4 linked regions of the Mytilus edulis genome follow. Each later gene encodes a partner of the first gene's protein in a complex. Links are inferred from orthologs where the notes say so. Each region holds a gene or a part of one and is shown on either strand. Other genes may lie near its edges.

What was found.
Region 2: smad nuclear-interacting protein 1-like (region 1) and splicing factor 3B subunit 2-like share a complex: the UniProt entries of both Homo sapiens proteins name them as parts of the minor spliceosome. The link is inferred for Mytilus edulis from reciprocal best matches to the Homo sapiens genes SNIP1 and SF3B2.
Region 3: smad nuclear-interacting protein 1-like (region 1) and E3 ubiquitin-protein ligase RNF113A-like share a complex: the UniProt entries of both Homo sapiens proteins name them as parts of the minor spliceosome. The link is inferred for Mytilus edulis from reciprocal best matches to the Homo sapiens genes SNIP1 and RNF113A.
Region 4: smad nuclear-interacting protein 1-like (region 1) and U5 small nuclear ribonucleoprotein 200 kDa helicase-like share a complex: the UniProt entries of both Homo sapiens proteins name them as parts of the minor spliceosome. The link is inferred for Mytilus edulis from reciprocal best matches to the Homo sapiens genes SNIP1 and SNRNP200.

What each region holds. Positions count from the first base shown.
Region 1 is NC_092353.1:19,625,976-19,633,001, reverse strand, and holds the start of smad nuclear-interacting protein 1-like, read left to right. Parts: upstream 1-4,020; 5' UTR 4,021-4,123; coding exon 4,124-4,198; intron 4,199-7,026. UniProt on the Homo sapiens protein: Required for pre-mRNA splicing as component of the spliceosome. As a component of the minor spliceosome, involved in the splicing of U12-type introns in pre-mRNAs. Down-regulates NF-kappa-B signaling by competing with RELA for CREBBP/EP300 binding.
Region 2 is NC_092346.1:9,790,107-9,797,656, forward strand, and holds the start of splicing factor 3B subunit 2-like, read left to right. Parts: upstream 1-4,527; 5' UTR 4,528-4,562; coding exon 4,563-4,653; intron 4,654-7,550. Other genes in the region: large ribosomal subunit protein uL11m-like, read right to left, coding at 488-628. UniProt on the Homo sapiens protein: Component of the 17S U2 SnRNP complex of the spliceosome, a large ribonucleoprotein complex that removes introns from transcribed pre-mRNAs.
Region 3 is NC_092345.1:33,822,920-33,830,460, forward strand, and holds the start of E3 ubiquitin-protein ligase RNF113A-like, read left to right. Parts: upstream 1-4,519; 5' UTR 4,520-4,574; coding exon 4,575-4,671; intron 4,672-7,541. Other genes in the region: D-ribitol-5-phosphate cytidylyltransferase-like, read right to left, coding at 2,259-2,419, 2,998-3,131. UniProt on the Homo sapiens protein: Required for pre-mRNA splicing as component of the spliceosome. As a component of the minor spliceosome, involved in the splicing of U12-type introns in pre-mRNAs. E3 ubiquitin-protein ligase that catalyzes the transfer of ubiquitin onto target proteins.
Region 4 is NC_092347.1:15,196,515-15,203,363, forward strand, and holds the start of U5 small nuclear ribonucleoprotein 200 kDa helicase-like, read right to left. Parts: upstream 3,021-6,849; 5' UTR 2,828-3,020; coding exon 2,783-2,827; intron 1-2,782. UniProt on the Homo sapiens protein: Catalyzes the ATP-dependent unwinding of U4/U6 RNA duplices, an essential step in the assembly of a catalytically active spliceosome. Plays a role in pre-mRNA splicing as a core component of precatalytic, catalytic and postcatalytic spliceosomal complexes.

The sequences.
Region 1 (7,026 bases):
ATAGTTAAAAAATATTTGATCAAGAAACTTGGTCCAATTTTGCATGACGTCATCTATAGTTGCATTTAAAAAAAATCGCATAATAATCAAATGGAATAATTGAAAACTCTGATTGAACTTTTACAGAGAACAACTCGAACTGATTATACAATTACAAAAAGGAGGTGCCAATCAACGTGATTCCTCGCTGTCTGATATTTTACGTGAAGTCGTTGAAGACGTCCAGCCTATCAAAAAATCAATGGGAACCAATCAAAGCTAGGAATTCTAGGTGACAAGATACAATAAGTATCCTTGTTTTCAGAACTACATAGCAGATGAAACGCCTTACTTAGTATTTGGTTGAACACGTTCAGCTTATCGAAGATACAAAGGGAAACAAAAAAGCTAGGAATTCTAGGCTACAAAATTCAATTTGTATCCTTGTTTTCAGAACTACATAGCAGATGAAACGCCTGACTTAGTATTTGTTGGAAAATTGTTTTCTCTGGGAACAGACTGTACACCTTGAAAACTGTTTACATTTATCTTATATATATTGACACATGTATTTTTATTTTTGTCTTAATAGGAATGTGTGAATACTGTTTTAGATAATAACTAATGCAGTTTGTTTGGAACATATGCCTATAAGTATGTGACCGTGACTAAGAAAATAGGTCCAGATGGGAGTGGAATTATGCATATATTGTTTTTTAAAACATTGAACGGCATTAATGTGTGTGTTTTTTTAAATTTGAAAGATGTTTTTGTGCTCTTTTGTTAAATATTTATTTGTTTTGAGATTGTGACACAGTGATGACTGCTGTATCCATGTTTTGACTCTTTTACATATTGTGTATGTTTTGTTCTCGCATCGTTGTAAATTAAATGTGATGCGACTGTCAAACAAGTGAAAGGTTAAGCGCTATAAAACCAGGTTCAATCCACCATTTTCTACATTTGCAAATGCCTGTACCAAGTCAGGATTATGACAGTTGTTGTCCATTCATTGATGTGTTTTATCGTTTGATTTTGCCATTTGATTATAGGGACTTTCCGAATTTTCCTTGGAGTTCAGTATTATGTGATTTTACTTTTTTTATACATATTTTCATTTTTTTTTCAACCCTTTGTCAATACTATTAATGTGCTTACTAGGAATACAAACGTTATGATGATATTTCAACTGGTTTCGAACATGTTCATATTTGGCATGTATTTGCGTACGATAATACATAATCAGAAAAATACGGAAATTCAAACAAAATTCTGATTAATTGTTTTCTTTGGAAAATTGGAATGTTGTAAATGTGTTCCACCTCAATATTGTATATTTGAGTACTCAAGGATTGAATATCTATATTGATGACAAGAATCCATTTTTTGAGGAATATTTATATTTGTATGTGGTTTCCATGGAAACAAAACAATAAATATTCTAGATTTTTGTTTTCATATTCTCTAATTTTTACATCAATTTTATGTGTTGTTTTTGGTGGTATTGTACTGTCTTCGTATCATTTTTTGTTTGTTTATCACATTGATATTTTGATTTTAAGTGTCTTGTTTTAAGTTTTGGTAGGTTTTAAATGAGTTGCTTTTTGTTATCGTATGTTTTGAATGATTTATATGGTACATAAAAAAATGTATCAAGACTTCCATCGGTTTTTCCCCAAATTAGATGAAATAAAAACGTGAAGTTAGTGGCATTGTTATTGAAAATGTATGCAGTACTCTGTACCAAATACAGAATATACTAGTCCTCTGATATTTGGTCAATTTATCAACAACTCACAATGTTTTGACGTTGTTAGTGACATTCGCCTTGATAATTTAACAAGTAAGGCCCGTTTCAGCTGTTTTTACAGCTTGTTCTGATGGTGTACTGTTTCACAACAGTCTCGTGTTAAAGAAGGATTTATCGCATAGAAACATGTTTAACTCCATCATATTCTAATAAATAAACTCATCATAGATACCAGTATTGAAATTTTAAGTTAATTTATAATTATGAACATATCAATGATTATCATAACTCAAGTCAACACAGAAGTTTGACTACTGGGCTGGTGATACCCTCGGGGAATTAAAACTCCACAAGCAGTGGCATCGACGCAGTGGATGTAAATAAACTATTCATAGATACTAGGGTCGAAATTTTATATTTACGCAAGACGCGCGTTTCGTCTACAAAAGACTCATCAGTGACGCTCGAATCTAAAAATGTTAAAAAAGCCAAATAAAGTACGAAGTTGAAGAGCATTGTGGACCAAAAAAAATCTAACAGTTTGGCCAAATACAGCTTAGGTAATCTATTCCTGAGGTAGAAACGCCTGTACCTGTCTTTAGTTAGTGTCGATAATTCGATCAGTTGTTGTCCTTGATTGAATAAACCACAAAACAAATCATTTTCAATAAAATTAAGTCATCATGAAAACATTGTTATCATGGAGTTATACTTGCGATTCGACTAATGGCAATCATACCACATCTTCTTTTTTATAAGGTAGGAGAAAGGTCTTAAATATATATTATATTACTCCGTATATCCATCACTGTTTGACTGTTTATTTTTGTGTGTGTTCTAAATGAGAATGTAACCTGGCCAATTAAACCTTGTGAACACAGGGCTTCTCGTGTATTCTTTCGTGGGTGTACTAAGTTAATTATATTCACGAAATATGTGATTCGTGTCTTCAAACTAAAAAAAAAAGCATGAACAGATGGTACTGTACTATGACCTATACTGTTCATATGCTTTATTTTAATGTACATCCTGCCTGGTGCAATTCACAATTGTACGATTATTTTCAGATGATTGTTTGTTTTGTCACAAAATACCACAACGCGCTACATGAAAACCTAGAGGGCATTCAGAAAGTGTCCAGCTCGATCCATTACAGATAACTTTTTTTTAAAAGGTAATACCCTAGTTCTTACTGAAAACGAAATTAACCTTGTTTAAAACAGAATGCAACTGATAATACCGTTTTGGAATTATCTTTGTAGTTTTTTTTTTAATATGAATTGGATTTCGAATAAAATGGCATATTGGCCCATGTACACGTGGACTGAGAAAAGAGGTATTCGCCACTGAACGTAATGTGCTTTTATTTGAATAATAATAGTAAAATGATTGATGGATATATGCTGCCCGGCTTTAGGAGTCAGACCACCAATGTACGACATACAATTTAGAACGTATGTAAAAGACCATGCTCTGACAAAAAGTAGTGTTTTTTATTTCCTTAAACTAACCATCAAATCTGCAGAAACGATTATTTTGGTGAGAGAAAAATATATTTAGACCATTTCATCCAAAATTTACTTGTCAATGAGTTTGCATTTAAGTTAAGGATTAATGAGCTCAATAGTATACTAATGTAATATTTCCAGAAAAAAACAGGTGTTAATACTTTTAGTAGTGCTTATCTTCCGATATGCAATTTTTTCTTGAAAGACTTGAAACATGGGATGAAAACTGGCATATGTAGAAAGGTGATACAGTGTACAATTCAGGATACATGTACCTGGTTTCTATGAAGTTAAACTTAAGTTGAAATATTCGGCAGAAAACTATGAAAATCGAAAAACTTGGTTAACAGATAGGGATTTTGAATTGGCGGTTACTGTATCAATGGTGTCGCAAATGATGAAATTGTGCCGGCTCGCCTTTAGTGTCGGAGGTTGCGGATCGGATAAAGCACATACAAATCCGCTTGAATCTCCATGTAATAGTTACCGCTGTACGTTAACTAAGCCCCATTCATGGTAAACTACCTTAGTGCTTTTTGTCATACATTTTTTGGGGGATGTTTTTTTTTTTTGCTTGTGGGTGTTTGTGGATTTTTCCCGTTTTCAAATTAGAACTTGAAAATTTAAGAGAAATTTCAAAATCGACTTCTAGTACCCCTGCCCAAATAAAGGAAAGAAAATGACAGGTCCTTAAGTAAATGGACCACTTTATAATAGTCACAGGCTAAATCACTGATACCTAAATTGATAATGCGGATTATCTACGTGTCTTAGTCGATACCTGTTTCTATTTTTAGAAAACTTGAACAGGTGTCGCTGTCGTCGTACGTAACTTCCTGTTTATTTTTCTTTCATCGTATTTCAAACGACGATATTAGCTAAAGTTATGGCCAAAGATGATGAGACAAAAGCGAAAAAGAAGCATAAGAAACAACGACATCGTTCCTCTAGTCCGGAGAAAGTAATCAGCTTAAAATCTTTTATTTGTATAGACACAGTCAACGGTGAACCCTACTGAGTAATGTAAATTATTTGGTGTTGACCATATGATCCTGAAAATTGTTTTTCCATATTTAATAACCTATTAAGGAATATGCAATATGAAGAAACATAGACATTCCTTAATATATATTTCCATGATATGCAGCAATTGACCTGTTAGAGATCACCAAGTCTCTATAAATTATTATTTGAACAGGTTAGACACCATGAACACAGGTCAGGAAAAGTGGGGTATTCCCTGTTTTGCTTCCATGACAATCCGGCAACACATCGATCCGGCCTACCTCAGTGTATCCGCACATCTAAGACTTATGACCACTTCATTCAACTGATAAAACCAATAATTAGATAATATTGTGTGAACAAAATCATAACATACTTTTATTTCATAAAATCATCTGTTTGTATGGTTTCATCATTCAGGAATCCGGGTCCGTCCGCCCTGATTTCGGTTCGCCCTAATTACAGTTCGCCCTAGTTCCGTTTCGCCCTGAGACCGTTCGCCCTGATACCTGTTCGCCCTGGGTATGTTCGCCCTGATTTTTATTTTTTATTATAGTGTTGTGTTGTGTGTATTTAATTGAATATGTTGAAGTCAGTCTACAATTTCGCCGAATATTTACGATTTTTATTTTTAGTATAGTGTTGTGTTGTGTGTATTTAATTAAATATGTTGAAGTCGGTCTACAATTTCGCCGAATATTTACGATGTATTATGTTGTCTACAGCTAGCTGCTACTAGGCTATAAGTTCATGCCTAACAATTTGTACATCAGTGTTTTTACCCATCCAAGCCGACTATTTTATTTGAGAAAATGTTATTTTCATTATCAATCCATCAAAGGCAATTCATATACCAATCAGTGATACCAAAGATTTCAAATCATACATGTACCTAATCAGCAATAAAATTCAATCAACAGTAATTAAAAGTAATTATAAAATAAAGTGTAACAATGCAGCCAAGAATTTTATTTAATTAATATGCTGTATTTAACTGTTTATAGATATACATAAATTTTAATATATATAAATATATATTTCTTTCATTAATGTAACATATACATATCATAAATGAAAATAGGGCGAACGAACCCAGGGCGAACGGATTACCAGGGCGAACAAACTCAGTGCGAACGAACCTAGGGCGAACATGTAATCAGGGCGAACGATCCCGATACCATCATTCAGTGTTCCAGCTACAAATGTAGCATGAAATGGAGGGGCGCCCCGCCCCCGAAATTTTGCGCCCCTCTGCCTTTTTTAAGCGCCCCTGCGCCCCATTGTGCCCTTTTGAAAAAAGTTTAAAAAACGATCTTTTTTCCTCATATCGTCGCCATTTTCTTGAGTTCTTTATGCACACACACTTCATTAAGACAACAGATTAAAATTGTTGACACTTGTTACCTGTATATAATCACCTATTTGATTGGAGTCAATTACTTAATCAGGTGAAATTTACGACCCTGTCTAATCCCTTTGCCCTGAAGCACCAAACATCGAAGTTAAATGAATTGATTATTTTAACACCTGACGATGCAAAATAGAATTTATAAAATAAATGTGAACGGTGTTCATTTCTAATGTATTTGTTATTTATAAAATAACGTTCATTTAAAAAGAATCATTCCAATAGGTCAACACGCAAAATGCCGACGAAAAAAAGAAAAATTGACCAACTCGGAAATGACAAGAAGAAAATATCAAAGACTTGGCTGCCAGTCTATTACATCTTTTTTCAAGAATAATGACCATCAAGAGTAAAAAATAATTTAATTCTTTACCTTTATGAAAAATCGAGCAGAAGAAAGGTTTCTATCAAATATCACAATTGTTCTTCTATTGTAAATTCAGTCGATTACGGAGCACCCAAAAGTCAGAATTTTATATCATTTTGTCTTAAATTGAAATCCGTTTTGACTAACTTTAATATTGATATTATTAAATACGCTCAACATGAAGTAAACGGAGATGCTTGTTGAATTGATAATAAACTAACAAAATTGAAATAATTTTATTTTATTGTGCCGATTGCGGAGCTCTCGAAAGTCCGATTTTTGTATCAATTTTCTTATTGAAATCACAGGCACTTGTTTTTATCCATTGGAAGACCCCCTATCAACGTATATTTCCGTAAATATACATTGATAGGGGGTATTCCAATATGAATAGAAACAAGTGCCTGTGATTGAAATCCGGTTTGACAAACTTATTGATTTTATTAGATACGCTCAACATGAAATATACGGAGATGCTTGTTGAATTGAACAGACAACAGTGAAACTATGTATGGTTATACAGAGAAAGAAGCTCTGGCAAATACATTTGACATGGACCCTGAAACTCTCCTTTTTCAATAACAGGACTTTATAGCTCTTGTGTCATCAGCAGAACTTACAGATCGTTCCTTATCTAGTCTGCTAGAGCTACAGTACAGCCTGTGACTTCCTCTTAGTTATGTCCACCCTCTTGCATGGTCAACATCCAATGGTGAACATTTATTGGGGTATTCAATCTTGAGATGTTGGCCATTTATTGGGGGTCATAAATCATGGGCAGATTTTTTATCTAATTATGTTACCTGTTAAAATCAATCAGGGTTGAAGTTTTCAGCTGGTATGTTTCATTAAAATTTACCTGTACAGGTGACTTGGGTTTTTATTAAAATTGACATTTCACCTTTTTTTGAAAATGTAGAATAAAATATTGTTTTACTCTGTTAATTTATTATAATTTTTTTGTCTTTAATGTTATTTAAATTTTTTATTTTTTAATTGTTTTTTTTTC
Region 2 (7,550 bases), on another chromosome or scaffold:
ATATATACACATAACCCAAAAACTGGTTAAGGAGAGATAACTTTACCAAATGTATTGACCATACCAAACTGACATAAATGTACACTAGGTCTAGGACATTCCAATACACCTTATCGCTAATCCTGGTTGACCCGGCCGCTTGAACTTTTGACACTTTCCATTGTGGCGTCAGATATTTTGTTTTGTGACGTCAAAATTTTACGGGAACCTGTGTGATATTCAGTAATGGCGGACAAATAGCGATAACGTGTATTGTATTGATAATGTCAAAGAGTGACCTCTGGTTGTATCAGATTGTATATTTCCCCATAGAAAAGCATATGACATGCCCCTAAAAAAAAGAAAAGAAATTTTTCTTATTGTTTATATATTACAGATAGAAATATGTATTTCAATACACCAGTAGACGGAATGGTGATAATTTGTTACTGTTACTAGTGTTAGTAAGTTGTTCGTGATAAATTTATGTGTTCGTTATGTATGTTACCTGTCCAAGATTTGGTCCAAGAGGTGGAGCTGGAGCAGCTTGACAGGAGTTTATATTTGTCTTCAAAAACGGGGGATGGATAATTTTCTCTACACCTCTCTTTGCCCCTTTAGCAACTTTCCTTGCACCCCGTGCAGCCATTTTTATTGGATAACTCTAGAGAATCCCGAAATAACTATAGAGTTGTTTCCCTTAGATTTCTCAAAAATTAAGTCATAGTTACAATACCGGAATGGGAAAAAATATCCGGATTTATATTTTATTAAATAAGGGGGAGGGGGTATTTATTTACAACAGGCAACATTCATATACATAAAGAATATATGAGACAATATCTGAAAAAGTCTAATTACCATGTCCCGATCTTTCACAAGCATTTTTTTTTCAGGCATCTTTTTGGAAATTTTCAAGTTTTAGTCACTATACTGACTATAGGGTATATATAATGCACCAACTGCACCCAATTAAACATTCTTTTTAATTTTTCTTCTAATAAAATATTATGATTTAAATGGTCCCTCCCAAAAAAAAAAATCATGTCCCCTGTTATTTTCTGAAAATTAAATCACTCAAAGAATAATCTAAATTAAGTAAACTTGGCAGCCTTCTGATTTTCCCAAATCCGTGAGTGATAGATTATGTATAGAACTTCTCCATTACTGGTCTGATTTTGTTATAACTGAAGCATGTAAGAAAATTTTGCATTTTTAAAGGTCTTTTAAATGTTGTCCCCAGGGGTAATTTCCCTCCTGTTACCGCTGGTTTTTTTTAAGCTGTGGACACGTTCGAAAGACCAAAAATTTATTTCTTGTAATGCAATGTGAAGAGAATCATTTCCTGAATGTATGACTTCATATGTTTAGGTGTATAGCAGCCAGTTTGAAAAATCTGAACTCCTTAAAGATCAGAATTTGTGGGAAAATAATTTTGTTGATCTAAGCTGTTACATTCTTTTTGTGTACCTTCTGAGAATATTTCAGTTTCAGCACTATAACAGTACATGTGTTTCATAGTATCTTATCAAATTGATATGTAGGTGGAAGTAAACTTCTACACAATTCGAGTAAATGAACAAAAAGTACTGCGCAATTCCTTTCTGTTACGTTCTGTCATGTTACCTGATAAAAAGTAACATCATAATCATAATCAGTAACAGGAAGGATGTTCAAGACAATTTTACTGATGAATCAAAAATTTAATCTACTATATACCATTGCAAATGCTAAAATCAATAATTGGCATTTGATAAACTATTGCAGGAATAACTAGTAAAACACAAATAGTGTCCTAAAATTTTTCCTTATTCCCATTAGAAACTTTTTAAAATTGATTCACTTTGGTAACAGGAAAGAACTGGATTTTGTATAAGTTTTAAAATTGTCAGTGTTACCACATTTAAGAATTGTTTGAATAACAGACAACAGTTCCTAGATCCTCAATGTGTGTTCTTTAATTTGTGCTATTAAAATACTGGGTCTGAAGATTTCTTTTCCTTATTGCCAAAATTAGATTTTCTATAGTACTCGTACGACCTTTCTTAGGAGATTGCCTTTATTCCTCATTGTCCCAACATCTTTAAACATAAGTCAAAGACATATAAAGACATATAAAGCTTTATCAAGTTCGAGTCGGTATATGCAATACAAGTACAAGAAAAACTCATATTCATAATTCCGTTCATGTGAATATTATATATCAAATTGTTTCTTCTAAAAACAAGTTGATCTCCTTAACTCCTATTTCACCATTAGAAAACAGCTGATATGTCAGATCGAAAATGTACCTCAGAGCGAGTCAATTTTAGGTCCCTCATTATTTCTGGTTTCTTGTTTTTATCAATGATATGAAGTTTATGTTGATAAAACCAGCCAGGCGTATATAATTATCATATAGTCATGCAGTTTTGGGACATAATAGTAACACTATATATCCAAGATATACAAGGCATATGTACTATATGTCTCTGACTATACTATCACTACTAAAATATAATGCCTTAATATTAATATCTATACTGGGATCCTGTCTCACTGCTCGATGAATTACTAGATTGGGTCCAGTGGCGGATCCAGGGGATGGGGGGTAACTGGGATTGGAACCCCCCTTTTTTGGACGATCAAACCATTTGAAGAGGACATATAGTTGGACCCCCTTTGTCCTGGGTTGGGACCCCTTTTTAAAATGGCTGGATCCGCCCCTGAGCGGTCACTGACGTCAGGCTGATAAATATCTCGACGACCATGTTTAGTATTTTCCCCTTACATTTTCCCCATGACTATTTAATCGAGAAGCTGAATCAAATAAAATTGAGAATGTAAATGGGGAATGTGTCAAAGAGACAACAACCCGACCATAGAACAGACAACAACAGAAGATCACCAATAGGTCTTCAATACAGCGAGAAATTCCCGCATCCGGAATGGTTTAAAATGATTGAAATGGAGCAGTAAATCATGATAAACTACAGATTTTGACAGTTTTAAAATATGAAACTCTCTAAGGCATTTGTCTGAGTTGTTACAGAAAAAAATCCGGTTTACTAGTATATACCTTGATATAACATTTATGTTTATATTTTTATGACTGACTGACTGTTTAAATATTAAACTATATCGGTTGTGCTTGCTTTCAGTAACATTGATAGATAGAAGTATTTGATAAAATATCACTGACATAAAATATTACAAAAGTAAAGTATTAAACCATAGCAGACATGTATACATACTCAAATAAAAAGATCTTGAAACAATATATTGCATTCTGAAAATCTGTTTGTGGTATTTAAATTTTGAAGGAAAAAAAAACTTACAGTCATTTTTTCTTAATTTTGATTTTGAATTGCCTAAATTATGTATGTGTGTTTTTGTGATTTGTTTAACACTATTTTAGATCATAGTGAAGGTATACTACACATGTAGTACAAAACATGTTAATTTACTAGTCAACAAAAGGAACGATAATATGCAATGCTTTTTCCATAGATATTATAGTTCAATACACGCACGCTTTTCAACCCTAAAAATATCCCAAACGGTCTAATGTTTAAAGGATACTGTTTTTTTTTTTTTTTTTTTTTTTTTTTATCATCAAACTGCATTGATTTACCGAAAGCGTACGTTACGAAAACGCAAGAGCGCGAAAAGGCAAAAAATCGAAAATGCGAAATGGCGAAAACACGTAGTAGAAAACGCAAAATTGAAGTCGAAACCGCGAAATCGGAAAAAAAATATATCAAGTTCGCATTTTTAACTTCGCGTTTTCCACTACGCAACGTACTAACTTCGCCACGTTATCACCCTAAAAAATAAGAAGGGCGAAAAGGCTAACCGGCCAAGTTTACTCATCTATCTTATTAGAGTATATTACGGTCACGATACACCTTATCGCTAATCCCGGCTGACCCGCCCGCTTGAACTTTTGACGCATACAACAATCACTTTTCCATTGTGGTGTCAGATATTTTGTTTTATGACGTCAAAATATTACGGGAACCTGTGTGATATCCAGCAATGGCGGACAAATAGCGATAAGGTGTATTGTCAGTAACATATGTCTCTTTTTTAATATTAAAATTTGGATAGAATAGAATAGAAAAAAATATTGAAATTTATTGGCAACATATGTCAGCAGGGGCGGATCCAGCCATTTAAAAATGGGGGGGGGGGGGGGTCCCAACCCAGGATAAAGGGGCGGGTTTCAACTTAATGTCCCCATTCAAATGCATTGATCGTCCAACCCCCACCTCCACCGTAGACCCGCCACTGCATGCATGAAAGCCGGTCATGAAATATTACAAACATAAGCTTTGGAAGAAAAAAAAATGTTTAGCCGTTTTTTTTGTTAGTTTTAATTTTGAATTGCCTAAAGTTAAAAGATTTCATAGTGTCTGCTTCAAATGAAGTTTTAACTCAAATCCTCACAATTGTTGGCGCAATTTTACAAAACCCGGATATTAGTACTGATCCGTAATAAACAAAATGTTTTTGTATAGGACCGTCTTTCAATCAATAGTTGTAATTTGTTCTACCCTTTTGTTCATTCTCGGTACTCTTCGGACTTTATTATTTGATCCAGCATGGCGTCGGTACCTACTACTGACGAATTAAAGAAACTTAAAGTTGTTGAGTTAAAACAGAAATTAACAGAGCTTGGATTATCTACTCAAGGTTTTCTTATTTCCCACCTTCATTGCATCGGTCAATAACGAATGTTTAAATGGCTAGCACAGCAAAATAATGTATCATATACGCTTGGCTCTGTAGACTGTACCATTTTTTGTTATCATAACACAGGCCAAAATACCGCTATGTTCATAATTATCGGTATCCTAACCCGACCTAACATTCCAGCAATTAGTGTCCAAAGTAACAAAAACGTTTTTGTTATTGTTACTTTTTCTGATATCAACATATTATTACATTGGTTGCAATGAATTACATTGATTTCCCAGTTAGATAAAAACCGATAATTTCACATGTGAAATAAACGTGGTTATTTCACTCTCTGATGTCATACAACAATAGGCGTTGTCAAGACGTCGATAACGTCGGATCAAAAGAAATTGTCAATGCGTAGGAAAAAGATATAGTTCCTTACATTTTCTACATTAATTTCATAAAAAAAAGCCATTTGCCAATGTAATAAAAAGAATAACTAATTGCTGTATTTGAATATCAAAAATAAGACAACTTGTGACCGAACGCCACTATGGATTAAACTCGTGCTGCGCACTCGTTTAATCCATGCGTCGTTCGGTCACGCGTTATCTTATTTTTGATATTCAAATACGGCGATTAGTTATACAGTACGCCCAAGGAGTTTGTAATCCCAAACTCCATACTCCGATATTTTTGCTGGTGTAACACCAGGAAACTCCGACATCCCTCCCAAAATTCTCGGAGAAATTTGGGAGTATTCCCTCCGACTTCCGCGTAAATCCGCTACCTTTTGTTTATTGTATTAGCGACATCTCTCCCAGTCTGGTGTGACGCGGTGTGACACCAGGTAATTAATTGCCCTAATCCGTCTGATCTATGCCGGCACGTGACAGTCAAGGTATGTGAGATTTCTAATGTAATTAAACAATTGTATTTTCTGTCTATTGATTATCAGATTATATCTGATTGCTTGAAACAAATGAAAGATTAAAATAAAAAGCAAAACGTTGTTGTTAATTCTTTTAATTACACTGTACATTTTAATAAAGTTTTTAAACAACTATATTTGATTTTGACTTCCGTTTTTTTATCAGTAAATAAATATTTAATTTACTAAAAGAGATATAATTGTGCAACAATAAACGGAGACTAACGCTGAATAAATGAGGGCAGTTTAAAGAAAAATTACACGTCTCAAAGTTTTTTATACTGCAAGTAAAAAAGAAAATATTATTCACTATATGTTATGCTAATAATTCTACACCATTTCCATTTTACGATTACAAAATAAAAGTTTTAAAATCCAAAACGTTGTTGTTAATGCTTTCAATTGCATTAAAGTTTTATAAAAAAATTCTATACTTGATTATGACCTCGTTTTTTATTTATCGGTAATTGATATAACTTACGAAAAGCGACATACTTGCGTGCAAATAAACGGAAACTAACGCTGAAGGTATAAAATGTGAGCAATGAGTTTAAAGAAAATTACGTGTCTTAAAACTTGTATATGCAAGTAAAAAAGAAAATACTATTCACCATTCGTTATGCTTAATAAGTCTACGGCATTTTCTCTTCACGATTATCATTACTTTAGGATATATATAATACATTTCGGCTACAACAGGAATACTTCTATAGCTGCATCAACTCGTCGTTGCATAATATTCATTTACGCACAATGAATGTAAACTTTTGTGTTGTATTTAGAACAGTGATCTTTAAATATTTTTAAATTTAAAACAATTAATTGCCGTGGGAAGACGACACGCATCTCAGTGATCAACAGTGCGTGGTTGAACTTGAACTTGACTTCGCTCACAATATTGAATGCTAAAAATAGTGACATCAATTTTGTCCACGAGATTTTTATTTGGCGGGAAATAGTATCACGTAACAGTAAACTCAGGTGACCTTTCTGGATAACCGTGGGAAAATTCATTGAAGGTTTAAACTTGCTTTGTAATGATTGACATTTGTGTGCGTTAAGATTGAGGCTCTAGAAGGTCCTTTTACAATTGATTAACCATATTCTAAATTTTATTCCTTTTCTGAATAAACGAACATCAGCCTTTTATTTATACGTTTCTCAGTCAACAGAGGACATAAACCTGGACATTATTTATACTTCCATAGTCAACACTATACATTAATGGTAGATGAAAACAGGATGCATGTCGTTCAGTTCCTGATGGGCGTTGGTAGAGATCCTCTGTGAAAATGTGTCGATCGTAAAAATCCGATCCACATTTTTTTTACATATTTCTTTCTTGAACGATATAATTTTATTTTAATATTCTATAGTATAAATTGTTGAAATACTTCTTTTTATATTTCGTCGAGGACTTTTAACGAAGAGTAAAATACGGATTAAGCCAATCCAATTTTATTTAAATAATAAAAGATCAATAACAGATCATAACAGATAAAAAACACGTGATTTTATTTCTTCATATAATTAAATAAGGTTGTGATTATTGTGTTGTGTCTGGGCGGGGAATTATCTCAGTATTTATGAATATAGGGCTGCCACATTGCATACAAAACTATTTGTCACTTTACAGTTTCTTTTTTAAATTCAAATATTTCAAGTCGGTAATCTACCGAGGTAGTGGAACATAATATTTTACATTTCAAAATAAATTGAAAGTAACAGAGTTCACTTGTTGGTCCGATAAATTAACTCTAGGGTTTGATTTAGATTGGACAAATTACCGTAAAAACATCATTTTGTTTTAAGCCAGTTGATATTAATTATATAATATTGAACTATTAATGAACCGGATATTGCTCACTGAGTAGGCCATAAAAGGTTCTAATTGTGGTAAAATCATCTTTGATGAAACTTTGTTGAAAAAACAAAAATTATGAACTGATCGGACTATAATGAAAATACTAAATAAGTA
Region 3 (7,541 bases), on another chromosome or scaffold:
TACAGAACTAGAGATGAATATCTAAAAATAAAGAACCAAAATCAGGGTCAACGAGACATCAAACATATATAATCTCAATGGTATCAGTTACCATGGTTACTTAAAAAGATTTTAACACTGAATAATTCTCTATACGTAATATTTATAAAGATGAGATACAACGTTTTTTAGCTCACCTGGCCCAAAGGGCCAAGTGAGCTTTTCTCATCACTTGGCGTCCGGCGTCCGTCGTCGTCGTCGTCCTGCGTTAACTTTTACAAAAATCTTCTCCTCTGAAACTACTGGGCCAAATTTAACCAAACTTGGCCACAATCATCATTGGGGTATCTAGTTTAAAAAATGTGTCCGGTGACCCGGCCAACCAACCAAGATGGCCGCCATGGCTAAAAATAGAACATAGGGGTAAAATGCAGTTTTTGGCTTATAACTCAAAAACCAAAGCATTTAGAGCAAATCTGACATGGGGTAATATTGTTCAACAGGTCAAGATCTATCTGCCCTGAAATTTTCAGTTGAATCGGACATTTCGTTGTTGGGTTGCTGCCCCTGAAATGGTAATTTTAAGGAAATTTTGCTGTTTTTGGTTATTATCTTGAATATTATTATAGATAGAGATAAACTGTAAACAGCAATAATGTTCAACAAAGTAAGATCTACAAATAAGTCCACATGATCAAAATGGTCAGTTGACCACTTTAGGAGTTATTGGCCTTTATAGTCAATTTTTAACCATTTTTCGTAAATCTTAGTCATCTTTTAGAAAAATCTTCTCCTCTGAAACTACTGGGCCAAATTAAACCAAACATGGCCACAATCATCATTGGGGTATCTAGTTTTAAAAATGTGTCTGGTGACCCGGTCAACCAACCAAAATGGCCGCCATGGCTAAAAATAGAACATGGGGGTAAAATGCAGTTTTTCGCTTATAACTCAAAAACCAAAGCATTTAGAGCAAATCTGACATGGAATAAAATTGTTAATCCGGTCAAAATCTATCTGCCCTGAAATTTTCAGATGAATCGGACAACCTGTTGTTGGGTTGCTGCCCCTGAATTGGTAATTTTAAGGAAATTTTACTGTTTTTGGTTATTATCTTGAATATTATTATAGATAGAGATAAACTGTAAACAGCAATAATGTTCAGCAAAGTAAGATTTACAAAAAAGTCAACATGACCAAAATGGTCAGTTGACCAATTTAGGAGTTATTGCTCTTTATAGTCAATTTTTAACCATTTTTCGTAAATCTTAGTAATCTTTTACAAAAATCTTCTCCTCTGAAACTACTGGGCCAAATTAATCCAGACTTAGCCACAATCATCATTGGGGTTTCTAGTTTAAAAAATGTGTCCGGTGACCCGGCCAACTAACCAAGATGGCCGCCACGCCTAAAAATAGAACATAGGGGTAAAATGCAGTTTTTGGCTTATAACTCAAAAACCAAAGCATTTAGAGCAAATCTAACAGGGGTAATATTGTTCATCACGTCAAGATCTATCTGCCCTGAAATTTTCAGATGAATCGGACATTCCGTTGTTGGGTTGCTGCCCCTGAAATGGTAATTTTAAGGAAATTTTGCTGTTTTTGGTTATTATCTTGAATATTATTATAGATAGAGATAAACTGTAAACGGCAATAATGTACAGCAAAGTAAGACCTAAAAAGAAGTCAACATGACCAAAATGGTCAATTGACCCCTAAGGAGTTATTGCCCTTTATATAGTCATTTTTTTTTAACAATTTTCACAAAATTTGTAAAATTTTACTAACATTTTCCACTGTAACTACTGGGTCAAGTTCATTATAGATAGAGATAATTGTAAGCAGCAAGAATGTTCAGTAAAGTAATATCTACAAACACATCACCATCACCAAACCACAATTTTGTCTTGAATCCATCTGTGTCCTTTGTTTAGTATTCACATAGACCAAGGTGAGCGACACAGGCTCTTTAGAGCCTCTAGTTTTCAATGTTACTGAAGACCCTTATGTGACTTTTAGTTTTAAATAAACGTTGATTGATTAAAACTTGTTCCTATTTGTCTTCTTTTTTATATTTCCCATAAACATGATAAAGTGCTCTGTTATTGTGTACATATCTCAACTGATTTCAAATTGTATGATATTTTGTTTTTTTGTGTTAATAAGCACTTTTTTTCTAAATGCTTTTTTTTGTATGCAAAATCTTCATAAACATGGAGAAAACAGATTCATTCATACATTCATTTAAAAAATCAAGTTATGCAACATAAAATGTACCTGTTTCCAGTGCTTTGACACCATTATAAATTGATCTGTGTCTTGTTGGAGATCCAGTAACTAACTTCACTTTAGTAAATTTATATTTTGTTAGTAAATTCTGCATGAACTCCAGATAACTCTCATCAACCACAACGACAATCATTTTTATCCAGCTTAGTCTGAAAATTGGGAAAAAAGACTGAAATTTAAACAGCACATAATTCATTGAAAACAGAGAATTTTTTAGATTAAGAGTTTATTAAAAATTCTAGAAATGGAAAGGTTTAGATCATTGGATGTAACTGTAGCCATGTGTAGCGTTGTCATTAGTTTTCTTCTTAAAAAAAAGGCTTTCCATTGGCCACAAACTTTTTTGAGACCATGAATGTATGATTACACCCCTATGATCATGTATGCATGTTCACCTTGAAGAATTTTAAAATGCTTCAAATTCATAGCTTGCGTTTGTAAGGTAAAATTTGGAGATATTCAACTTCTTCAATGCTAATCCTCATGGCTTGCCAAAATTCCTAACTTTAATTAACCATTCAAATATTCATCGGTTTGTCTAAATTCATGCTGGGGAAAATCTGAGTACATAAGAAATCTTTTACAATATTTGGAATGTCCATGCATTTCCATTTTTACATATACATTGTATCTATGAAATCTGTGTATTGTAATAGAGGTCTGTTTAGTAATTTACAGTGTTGTTTTGGTGTACTTATTTCCATTCTAACATAGCACAAACATTTACCTATGAAAACTATGTATTGTGTAGAGTATAAGAGGTCTGTTTAGGACTTTGCAATATTGTTTAGGTGTGTCCATTTCCATTCTTACACCACATCCACCGGCAGGTAAAACCACACAAACATTTTCTAAATCCATTTTTGAAACTGAAAAATATATACATGTAACTCATAAAACTGTTTGAAACATATTTTACAAATGTGCTGCATTTGTTTGCACCTGTCCTAAGTCCCGGACCTGGAGTCGGTTACACAAAAAACTTATGATTATGATTGATCGAAAGTAGTAAACAATTCAGTATAATTAGGATACATCTTAGTCGTAAATTTTTTTGTGAAACTAACTCCTGTTGTTCAGTGGTTATTGATGTGGAAATTCATAAGTGTTTCTCATTTCTTGTTTTTATTAAATAGACTTTATAATAAAATAACGATTTTGTAAATAAGGGGGACGGCAAAAAATGTATTGTCCCAAGTGCCTTTGGAAATTTAGGGATATTTTAATTCCTTTACCTGTTTACTGCTTATATAAACAACAATGTTTAAAACATTCTTGATGAGAGCCATTGCCGTAGTGGTTATAGTGCATCAGACTACTAACCATGCTAACACAAAAGTTCCTGGTTTGAATCCTGTTCCGTGATGAAAATTTCAGGGACTGAATTAGTATAGATAGTAAAATTAGGTATTTTCTCTGAGTCGTTTAAGTCATTAGAAATGAGACATGTACAGTAGTGATAGATATGTATTATAAATATAGAAAATTGAATATTTGAATCAACAACAAAAAAATATCTGTATCCTATACCCAAGCGCTTGTGAATAAACGTATTTACACTTTTGGTATTTAGCTGAATCTTGCCTCCGAATGACCTTAGATCAACTCCGAATCACCTTCTGACGTCAAGCAACAATCACTTTTAAATTGTGACGTCAAATATTTTGAATTATGATGTCAAAGTTTACGGGAACCTGTGTGATTTTACGTAATGGCGGACAATTTGCATACAAGTGTAAATACATCTATTTAGGGCTCTCCCTTGGCATCATTTTCTAGTATGGTCTTGAGGAAACGAGGATAGTCTGTCAAAAGGGGATGATAAATGGCTGACCGGGCGTGTTCATCTCTTGCAAGTTAAAGACACCCTTGCATATTTTGAAATAGAGCAGGCTAATGCTGCTACATTTTGTACAAGGCAGCACACGCACAGGAAAAGTGGAAAAGGATTAATATAAGTTGCAAAACTTGCTTCTCTATCACCTGTAAATAAATCTATGAAATACATGTTTAAACTAAACTAAAACATTCTTTTACAAGGTTTTGAATTTTTGGGAACTTTTTGCATTTGTCCAAGGTAAATATAGTAGGCCTTGGAACAATATATCTCCCTATTTGCTCCTGTTTATACTTTGATTTTCAATATACAAATTTTACCTTTTTTACCACGTGTATTTGTTGTTGTTTATGCGGAAAATAGAAGCAATATCTATAACGTGTAATTTGATTGGACACTGAAGTTTTCGTTCATTTATATTCCAATCGCAGAGTTCGTTATTTTTACGCGTCGGAAAATAGTCCAAAATGTCGGACGATGGATCATCACAAAAATCCTGCGTATTTTTTAAGAAAAGCAGGAAAAATCAGCCCACTAGGAAACGGAAAACATCTGAATCTGATGGTATAACATACATTTTTAATATGTGCTCATTGTGTTAGGAAAATGAATTAATTTCGAGATCAGACAGCCATTTTGAACAAAACAAGTATGGTTTTTTATTTTGACGTTTTTCAGACGTCCATGTATATCACATGATAAACAAGACCAGATATTATGAAATTGAACGCTTCTTGTTGTAAATTCCATGTGGTTCAAAAGCGTTGACCGAGGTACATTTTTAATAAGGCATGGCAACACGTATTACTATTAATACTATAAATGTGGCACAATCACAGGGGCTATATAGGGGGGGGGGTGTAGGAGGAATCCAGGTCTGTTCGCGCCCAGTCACGTTCGCGCCCAGTCTTGTTTGCAAATTTCACTTCCACACCCTACGTACACGTTACCACTAAAAGTCCATCTGCACCTTACACATTCGCGCACATTCTTAATGGTTTCAAGTTTTGGCAAGTGTATTCCTTTAAGTACAATTTGTTGTCATTGTCTCAAAAATAAATTGAGACAACGTTTTTTTTGTGTTGCAGTCTGCACGGTTAGCCACTAGTCTGATGCCCCAGACTAGTAAAATTTCATTCGGACTAGTAAGTTTTTGCAAATTTTATTAAAGGTAAAGATCCACATGCATGACATGATATAAAAATAAAATGTTTGAAATAAAAAAAAAGATTTGATGCTAAATTCTTGACCTGAAAGGAGATACGTGACGTGTATAGAAAAGACCTAACATTCTACAAGAAGACTTATTCTTACTTCACTAATTGTTTAATTTTTTATCAATATATGTGTATTACTAATCATGCTAATGTTAGTGTAACGTGTAACTAGGCGTTTATATCTCAAACGTCCGTTCCAGTAAATACTTGGATCCAATTGTCCACAAACAATATGGTAATACTAAAAACTACAACTATCTATATATTATGCACAATGAACTAAAATATACACACGGACTCTTTGCCGATATAAAGTAACAACGGACAATTATATATATATACAAATATAATACAATAAAACAGCCTGTCCTCAAGATGGGACGATGTGACACAGTGTCACTAAAAGACAGTATGGCTGGTACAGTCTGTCTGTATCAGACAGTGTGTGCTGGTACAGCCTGTCCTCCGAGTGGGACAGTCTGTCAATACCAGACAGTGCGGGCTGGTACAAGTTGTCCTCCGAGTGGGACAGTCTTTCACTACCAGACAGTGGGACAGTCTGCTATGTCAACATGTACTTCCACTTTGTACCCAGTACAAAGTATACTCTGAATACCAAGGCCCTTCTAGCACTTAAAATATCCGAAGTACGCTCAGTTGAAGGATGACAGCTCATCGACAGCCAACCGACAGCCTCGAGTGCTGTTTCTCACTCTCTTATATACCTGTGGTCGATACCACTATTTACTTGATAGGGGTGTTCTCTAAATGTTACCCTTACGGAGCATAGAGGAAATCATAGAGTCCCTTACGACCACCCCTATAACTTTCGACCCGACAACTGATTTTCCCGCCAAACATCTAAATCTGCCTAACTCTTTTTCTAGCGTAAACCATGCATTTCTAAGCTAAGATTCTACTCAACTGTAACCTTAACGACCAATAAACATTACATTAGTATGTTCTTTTTTAATTTTTTTTACAATTCTTAAGAAACTGTAAGTAAATGAAGTATAGCTGCATATATACTAAATTTAGTCCTGGTACATGTATCTATGATGAGTTTATATATATGTATCTGATCATGTTTCTGTTTCTGATGATTGTCGACAATGTGACTTATCTGCAATTTTTAATAAAGAAAACATTAGGTTTACAAATATATTAATGTTCCAGCAGATGGAAAAAAACATATCACTGCTTTTATCATTCAGTAATATTTATAATTTATTTATTTATTGATGTTACAGAGGATGATGCACATTTAAAACACATAAATTGCATATTAAATTCACACATATCAATGTATCACCATCTTCGCTAGCTAAGGGTTACGATCCACTCCCTTTCTCCATGTTCTCTTCACCCTTGGCACTTGGCAGATTAAGCCAACATTTGTAAAAACAATGTTGCGCCATCTATCGGAAGATTAAAGTCACGCCCATTCCGAATACATTATTCTTGACTAATGGTAGCACTTGAACTCTTCAATTTGGAGGTAAAAACATGGTAGCGTCTAGATTCTACACACTTGATAAAGCCAGAAACAAAAATATACATCAACATTCATGCATTTGTGCATGAAACATACACAGGAACTTCTACCAATTGAACAAAAACATTAAAGTTGTCACTAAATATAGTCGTATGTTTATAGAATGTTAAGACTTGTTGCACAATAAACACGTGGCATTTGTTTACAAACACTTTCTTCATTTACATGTGATCATGTTATAGGTGCTTTTTGATTGGATGCAGCGAGTTTCGACTGCAACCAACATGACCAATAAAAATCCTTACCTTGTGTCTCCAAAATTTTATCTCAATCCACCAAGGGTGAAGAGAAAGGGAGTGGATCATAACCCTTGGCTAACGAAGATGATGTATCACATACAAAGCAAATTTAGCAATTGTATAGAGCAAGAATAAAATTTTTGAAGCACATCTATAAGACAACATGCATTGCCATTTTCATCATGCACATCTAAAGTACACAGCACATTTGAAACACTCAAAGCACATATAAAACATAAATATTTATCACATACATATGCATGTACAACACACTTATGTATATCTAAAAGACAAAATGCAAAATAAAAATAGTTTTGGTAACATGGTCTATGGAAAAATCAAAATGGCAGTCGAAATGCTAAAAGACCAATTGTATTCAAGTACTTGTAGATTTGCAAATTGTAAAGAATTATTATTCAAAAG
Region 4 (6,849 bases), on another chromosome or scaffold:
CAATCACAAAACAATTCGAAATCTACGTTTTGTATTACGAAATTTCAAAGATTGAAACGATTTTTATTATTTTCAAAAAAGGTCGTTTATTTGTGCAACTCTCCCAAAAATTACTTTCTTTCTCTTCCGGTAATACGAGAGCGAGAATTTTGGTTTAGAGCTAAAATAAGTTTTATACTTCTTTAAAAAGTTATCATAATTGGCTTCAGTTTATGTTTAATCCATTTTATGCATTAAAAGCGTCTTATTCATTCACAATCTCTTGTCAAACAATGTTTATTCTCGGACTCATTTTCGTAAATTTTACTACGGCCGCCATTGCACATTTTTGTGTAAACTACGGATCGGAACCGGACCAGATATGACAAAAATCTGCATTTTCACGATAATGACAACAGATGGACAGTAGACAGAAAAAAAAACCAAGAGAGAAAACTACGCATTACCAGACTATTTGTTAGATAACTTTGTTAAAAATACATATGAATTTGATGTAAAGATAAGAAACAACTGGGACTAATTCATTGAGTGGCATGAAACAATGAATTTCATAAACATGATAAAAAAAGTTTTTAAATTGATTTTTTTGCTTCTTTTGCTACTTTATCTTTACTTGATATAATATAAAAAGCAGTTAATTTTGTATACTAGATAATTTAGTTTTGTATATATACAGGTTGCACTATAATGAACAATTCATTCATTTGACTTATTGTTGGGTAACTGAAACCACATATTTATTTTTATTTGGCACAAGAGGAAAAAAATAATTCTGTAACTATAAATGAACAAAGAAGACATAAACTGAAACAACTGTTTTTGTGGTTATAGTTTAATTGTATTCTCAGTTATGAATTGAACAATATAAACTAAAAAGTAAAGGAAATAGAGCATCAACACGACGCGACAAACGACATTAAAAAAAATACAGTTATTTTTTTTAACGCAAAATGTGATGCTATCCAAAATTTCTGGGGAGAACACTAGTTTAACTAAGAAAAACTCACCCAATAAACGTATTTACACTTTTGGTATTTAGCTGTATCTTGCCTCCGATTGACCTTAGATCGACTCCGAATCACCTTTTGACGTCAAGCAACAATCACTTTTAAATTGTGACGTCAAATATTCTAAATTATGACGTCAAATATTCTAAATTATGACGTCAAATATTTTAAATTATGATGTCAAAGTTTACGGGAACCTGTGTTAATTTATGTAATACACCTTATCGCTATTTGTCCGCCATTGCTGGATATCACACAGGTTCCCGTAAAATTTTGACGTCATAATACAAAATGTCTGAGGCCACAATGAAAAAGTGATTGTTGTATGCGTCAAAAGTTCAAGCCTCCGGGTCAGCCGGGATTAGCGATAAGGTGTATGGCGGACAAATTTGCATACAAGTGTAAATACGTCTATTTTATATAAGTAAAATACGGAAAAACAAGATTTATATTTCACAAATTTACTTCTGCTCTGGATCACAGGTATTTGGGGCATGGACCCCCCTTTTTTGGACCTCACTAAAAAAAAAATTGTTTGGTTTTTTTTTATTTATTTTCAATTTTCTACAATGTATGAACATATATCAAGTCTCAACAATCCATTGCTAGTCGATTGCAATAACTTTTTTACTATCCATACGATCCCCAAGTGAAAAAAGAAGAAGGTAATTACCTTCGATGACTGACCTACTTTCACTTTGGAGGATCAGGTCAGGAAATCGATAAAAATTTCATATAAAACCTCACTTACTTTTCATAAAAAGTACATCCATAGATTCCTGAGATATTTTTCTCGACGTTTAAATAGGTCACATGGTGATCTGCGGAGGTTTTGTGTCTTGTTTTACTGATTTTGTTCTACATTTGTCGTCCGTTTGAACCTCGATGCACGGAAGTGAAAATACAGCGCCATCTGCGTGGTCTTTCGCTATGTTTTTATAACTCCGTTTGACTAAACTGCTTTCCTGTTTTTGGTTACCAGTTTTACAGATGGGTTCCGAATGCAATGTAGCTATAAGAAAAGGTAAGAGATATTCGAAAAAAGTATTTTTGCCGGTCTTTTAAAAATTCAAAAAAACAGTTAACAGGAAAGCAGTTTAGTCAAAAGGAGTTATAGAAACATAGCGAAAGACCACGCAGATGGCGCTGTATTTTCACTTCCGTGCATCGAGGTTCAAACGGACGACAAATGTAGAACAAAATCAGTAAAACAAGACACAAAACCTCCGCAGATCACCATGTGACCTATTTAAACGTCGAGAAAAATATCTCAGGAATCTAAGGATGTACTTTTTATGAAAAGTAAGTGAGTTTTTATATGAAATTTTTATCGATTTCCTGACCTGATCCTCCAAAGTGAAAGTAGGTCAGTCATCGAAGGTAATTACCTTCTTCTTTTTTCACTTGGGGATCGTATGGATAGTAAAAAAGTTATTGCAATCGACTAGCAATGGATTGTTGAGACTTGATATATGTTCATACATTGTAGAAAATTGAAAATACATAAAAAAAACACCAAACAATTTTTTTTTAGTGAGGTCCAAAAAGGGGGGTCCATGCCCCAAATACCTGTGCTCTGGATGCTATCTTGTGATCATAAACAAGCATCTGTCCAAGTTTGGTAGAAAAATAATTAATCCAGGATGGTTGAAGAAAGTTATTAAAATTTATGGTTCATCCCGAAGTTGGTTGTCATTTCTAAAAAAAAATGCAATCAGTCAGTAACGTTTATCATAAGACATAATTTGTCTGGGCCATTTATCAAATTAACTTACAGCCTTGTACTCATATTGAAGCGATCTGGCCGCTGCATCAGCCATATTCCCTCCGGTTGATCCTTATTTAAATAATTTAGCGTTTGTTTTCTATTCCATGCGGCTACGTTTGTATTTCGTTTCGCTTTTGTTCAAGACGCTAGATGGCAGTACACTTCCGGTTTAAAGTTCCGGATAGTTTTTTCTTTTTTGTTCTGTATAACTCAACTGTTATATCCCTCCATCAAACTGTTTTATTCTGAAAAGAACAGTGAATCCTTCAATAAAATTATTTCTCATTTTTTTTCCTCTCCAAAGAAAGTCAATATGAACGATAAAAAGCTCTTCTATGTTTTTTTTCCGTGTTTGATTTAAAATTAGAATATCGTGCCGGTCTCACTAATTAGCGACAACAAGCGTCAACAAGCGACAAGAAGCGACAACAAGAATTATTTTAGCGACAACAAGCGACAAGAAACTATTTAGCGACAAGAAAACATTTTTTTTTAATTAAAATAAATTATTGCAATAAATATTAAAAGAATATGCAAAAGAAAATAATTTTAGCGACAAGAAAGTTAAAATTGATAGAAAAAAATGAAACATTATTTACATAATATTTTATCATCTATTATGAATAACAGCCAGTATTACGTTTAATTATTGTATTATGAGATTACTTTTCCCAAGGATTTGTATAGTACTATACAAATCCTTGCTTTTCCATTGTTCCATTGTAAAGAACATGTTATTTATCTTATAATTTGTTTTTTAAAACAATGAATTATACTGTTAGAATCAAAATATTATATTCCATTATGCCCGCTCCATATATATCGCCATTCGTTTATTCATACTTTGACTTTGATGAAAAAAGATACTTACATTATCTCATGGTGGGGGGGGGGGGGGGGGGGGGTAACTTCGATATTTTTTTGGTAGGGGTGTGCCATTTTTGTCTCAAAAAACGTACCCATTTTAATATAACATTCACTGAAATTCAGTACCTATAGTTATATAAATATTTAAGAAAGAATGACATATACTTATATACAATATTTAAAATATGACCCATGCTTATATAAGCACTAACTCATCATCACTCATAATTCATAAATATACCAGCTACCCTTAAGTTTTTATATATGAATTGAAATCGTTTGGTGCACATATCAATAGCATATTTATATATGATATGTAGATCATACCCCAAATCAATATACAATTATCAAACGTAAATGCATTTTAATATAGGATGTCATTAAAAAGGAGGGTCATTTTTATATAAAATCTCGCAAAATTATGACCCATATTTTTGGCACATCCCCGTATACCCAATAATAGGAAGTTACCCCCCCCCCCCCCCCCCCCCGTGCATTATCTTATACATAATTTTTTTATTCTTCATATTTAAAAATAAAAAAAAGAAGCTCAATCTCTTTCTTCTTCACAAATGTTAAATTTCTTCATCTAACAATATAATAAAACATTTTAATTGAGACATATCTGCTCGTATATTTAAAAAAAACTATTAAATACAAATTTCTTTATATCTAATAAAAAAAAATGTTTTCTTGTCGCTAAATAGTCTTCTTGTCGCTTGTTGTCGCTAAAATAATTCTTGTTGTCGCTTCTTGTCGCTTGTTGTCGCTTGTTGACGCTTGTTGTCGCTTTTTGACGCTTGTTGTCACTAATTAGTGAGACCCTATCGTGCTTAAAATCATTCAAACGTTTTATAAAACTGATGTCTACATTTATTTTAAAGCTCAAATCTAACACCGACAAATCGAGAAAAAGAAAGTACAATAATTTGCAGGTATGCTATTTCAGGGACAGTCATTGGCATTATATTGCAAGTCACATAGTCCAAACTATTGATTCAAAATTATTGAAAATGATTAGTACAATTAAACAGATATATGGTATTTTGATGCCAAAAACAATTCAATAACTGAATAAACTTTGGGTTACAATGTCAATATAAGTTTGTATTTTCCTTCTTCTTCTTCTTCCAGGTAAGGAACCGAATTCAAATCTTGAATGTATGAGGTCCCTCAAAAACTAATGCAATGTCGGACAACACAGAAAGTTTTCTCTTGGCTATTTACAGGATAAAACGTTCTCTATATATATACAATTAAAACTATGTACAGGATGTTACTGTCTAAATTTTAGCAGAGCATGCCTTCAGGGCAGCTCTGAATCCATCAACTGTGTCAGCTGATGTTGCGGATGTTGGCAGTTGGTTCCAGTCTCTAATGGTCCTTGGAAAAAATGATTGTCCGAAGGCGTCTGTTGTGGCCCTTTCTTGGAAGAAGCTGTTTTTACCTCTGGTCCGGCTATCGTTTGTCGTTAGATATCGCTCTTTGTCTGCCATAATTACTGGAAATCACTCAGGTTCCCTTAAAATTTTGACATCATAATACAAAATATCTGACACAACAATGGAAAGTGACTGTTGTATGACGTCAATAGTTCAAGCGGTACAGATTCTCTGGTCAGCTGGGAATAGCGATAAGGTGTATTGACCAGACAATTTCCTGGGTATTACAAGAACTAATTAATATCCAAAGGACAAATTGATTTACCATCGAAAATATGGTATTATAGTTCTTAAAATAATATCAAAGTATATACATGATATAATTTTAAGTTTTTAAAATTTTTTTTAAAGTTTTTAATTTTAAGTTCACAGACTTAGACAGATAAGAGCTACTAAGGAAGTATACAACAACTCCTTCTTCCCACGCTCTATAAGAGACTGAAACCTTCTGCCAGACACAGTAGCAGCTGCACCAACACTCGAGGAGTTCAGGGCCAGATTAGCCAGTGTGCCCTGGACCCAGATGCAGCCTAACTAGACATCAGCCTGCCAAATTGTACAGTGTATATATAGTTTTAATTATTTGTTAATATTTACTTTTAATCAATGGAGAAGCCTCCTGTTTTACCGAGCGGAGTTAGTAAATCACTCAAATATGAGGTCAACTCCTTAACGGAAGAAGAAGAAGAAGTTATTAGTCGTGTTTACTCAATAAAGTGCAATTTAACTTCAGTGAATTGATAAGCATGTCTTGTAAGTTATATGCAAATTACTTGTTGAAAACAATATGGCAGACGTAATTATCCAAAAGGTAGACAACTTAAAAAATTTGCATACCAATTGCAAGGGTTCAAATTAGCGGTGGTCTGAGGTCCGTGACATTCCACTTTTGCAATCAGACCTTCGTTTTGGTTACTACCTACGACCTACGGACCTTGGACCTGAAGGAAAATAAAAATAATCTTTGCCAACCTTTTTAACCAAAATTTCCAAACGATCTCAAAATTTATTTTCATCTTTATTATTTATGACAGCAATGTTCATTTTGTTCAACCACTAGGGTTATACTGAAATTTAACCAGCAGTAATGTGTAAAACCGACCAAAATCATATCTGACTGACAAAAACAACATTGAAAAACAATGGATGCCATAAAACCGGAAATGCAAAAAATTACAATACTTTATCAAGTTCCTGGATGGATAAGGGTAATTCCAGGTTTGCCGATCAAAATGATACTTCCAGGCAGGGGATGAAATACATCTATGATGATGAAATATAAACATTAGAATTGAAAACTAAAAGATTTAGTTCTGAACATGCTAAATGAAAGAAAAAGCAGAAAATATTTTATGCAGAAACTCAAAACTACTTTTAGTTCACGAATGCTCATGTCAAAATCCAAAAAACATGTGACAGTAATTTTCTTTATCATTAGTACATGTAAATGTTCATATTCCATGCAGATTTTTTATAGTGTAAAATATTACTACAATTCCAAGAGGTAATAAATTTCTTGTAAATTTGAAGGGCCAGTAAAAATCTAGAAGTTTCTTACTGTTTACAGATGTATAATAGCGTAACTTGATATAATACACTTAAACAACTTTGAATTTGAAATGACTGTTTGATATAAAAGTTTAACTAGTATTTAATTACCCATGGTTGAGACAACACCCACCCACAGTGACACCCTCCCAAATACCTAAAAAGAAAGATTATTTGAATTTATAAAATACAAGCTGAGATAATTACATTTATTAAT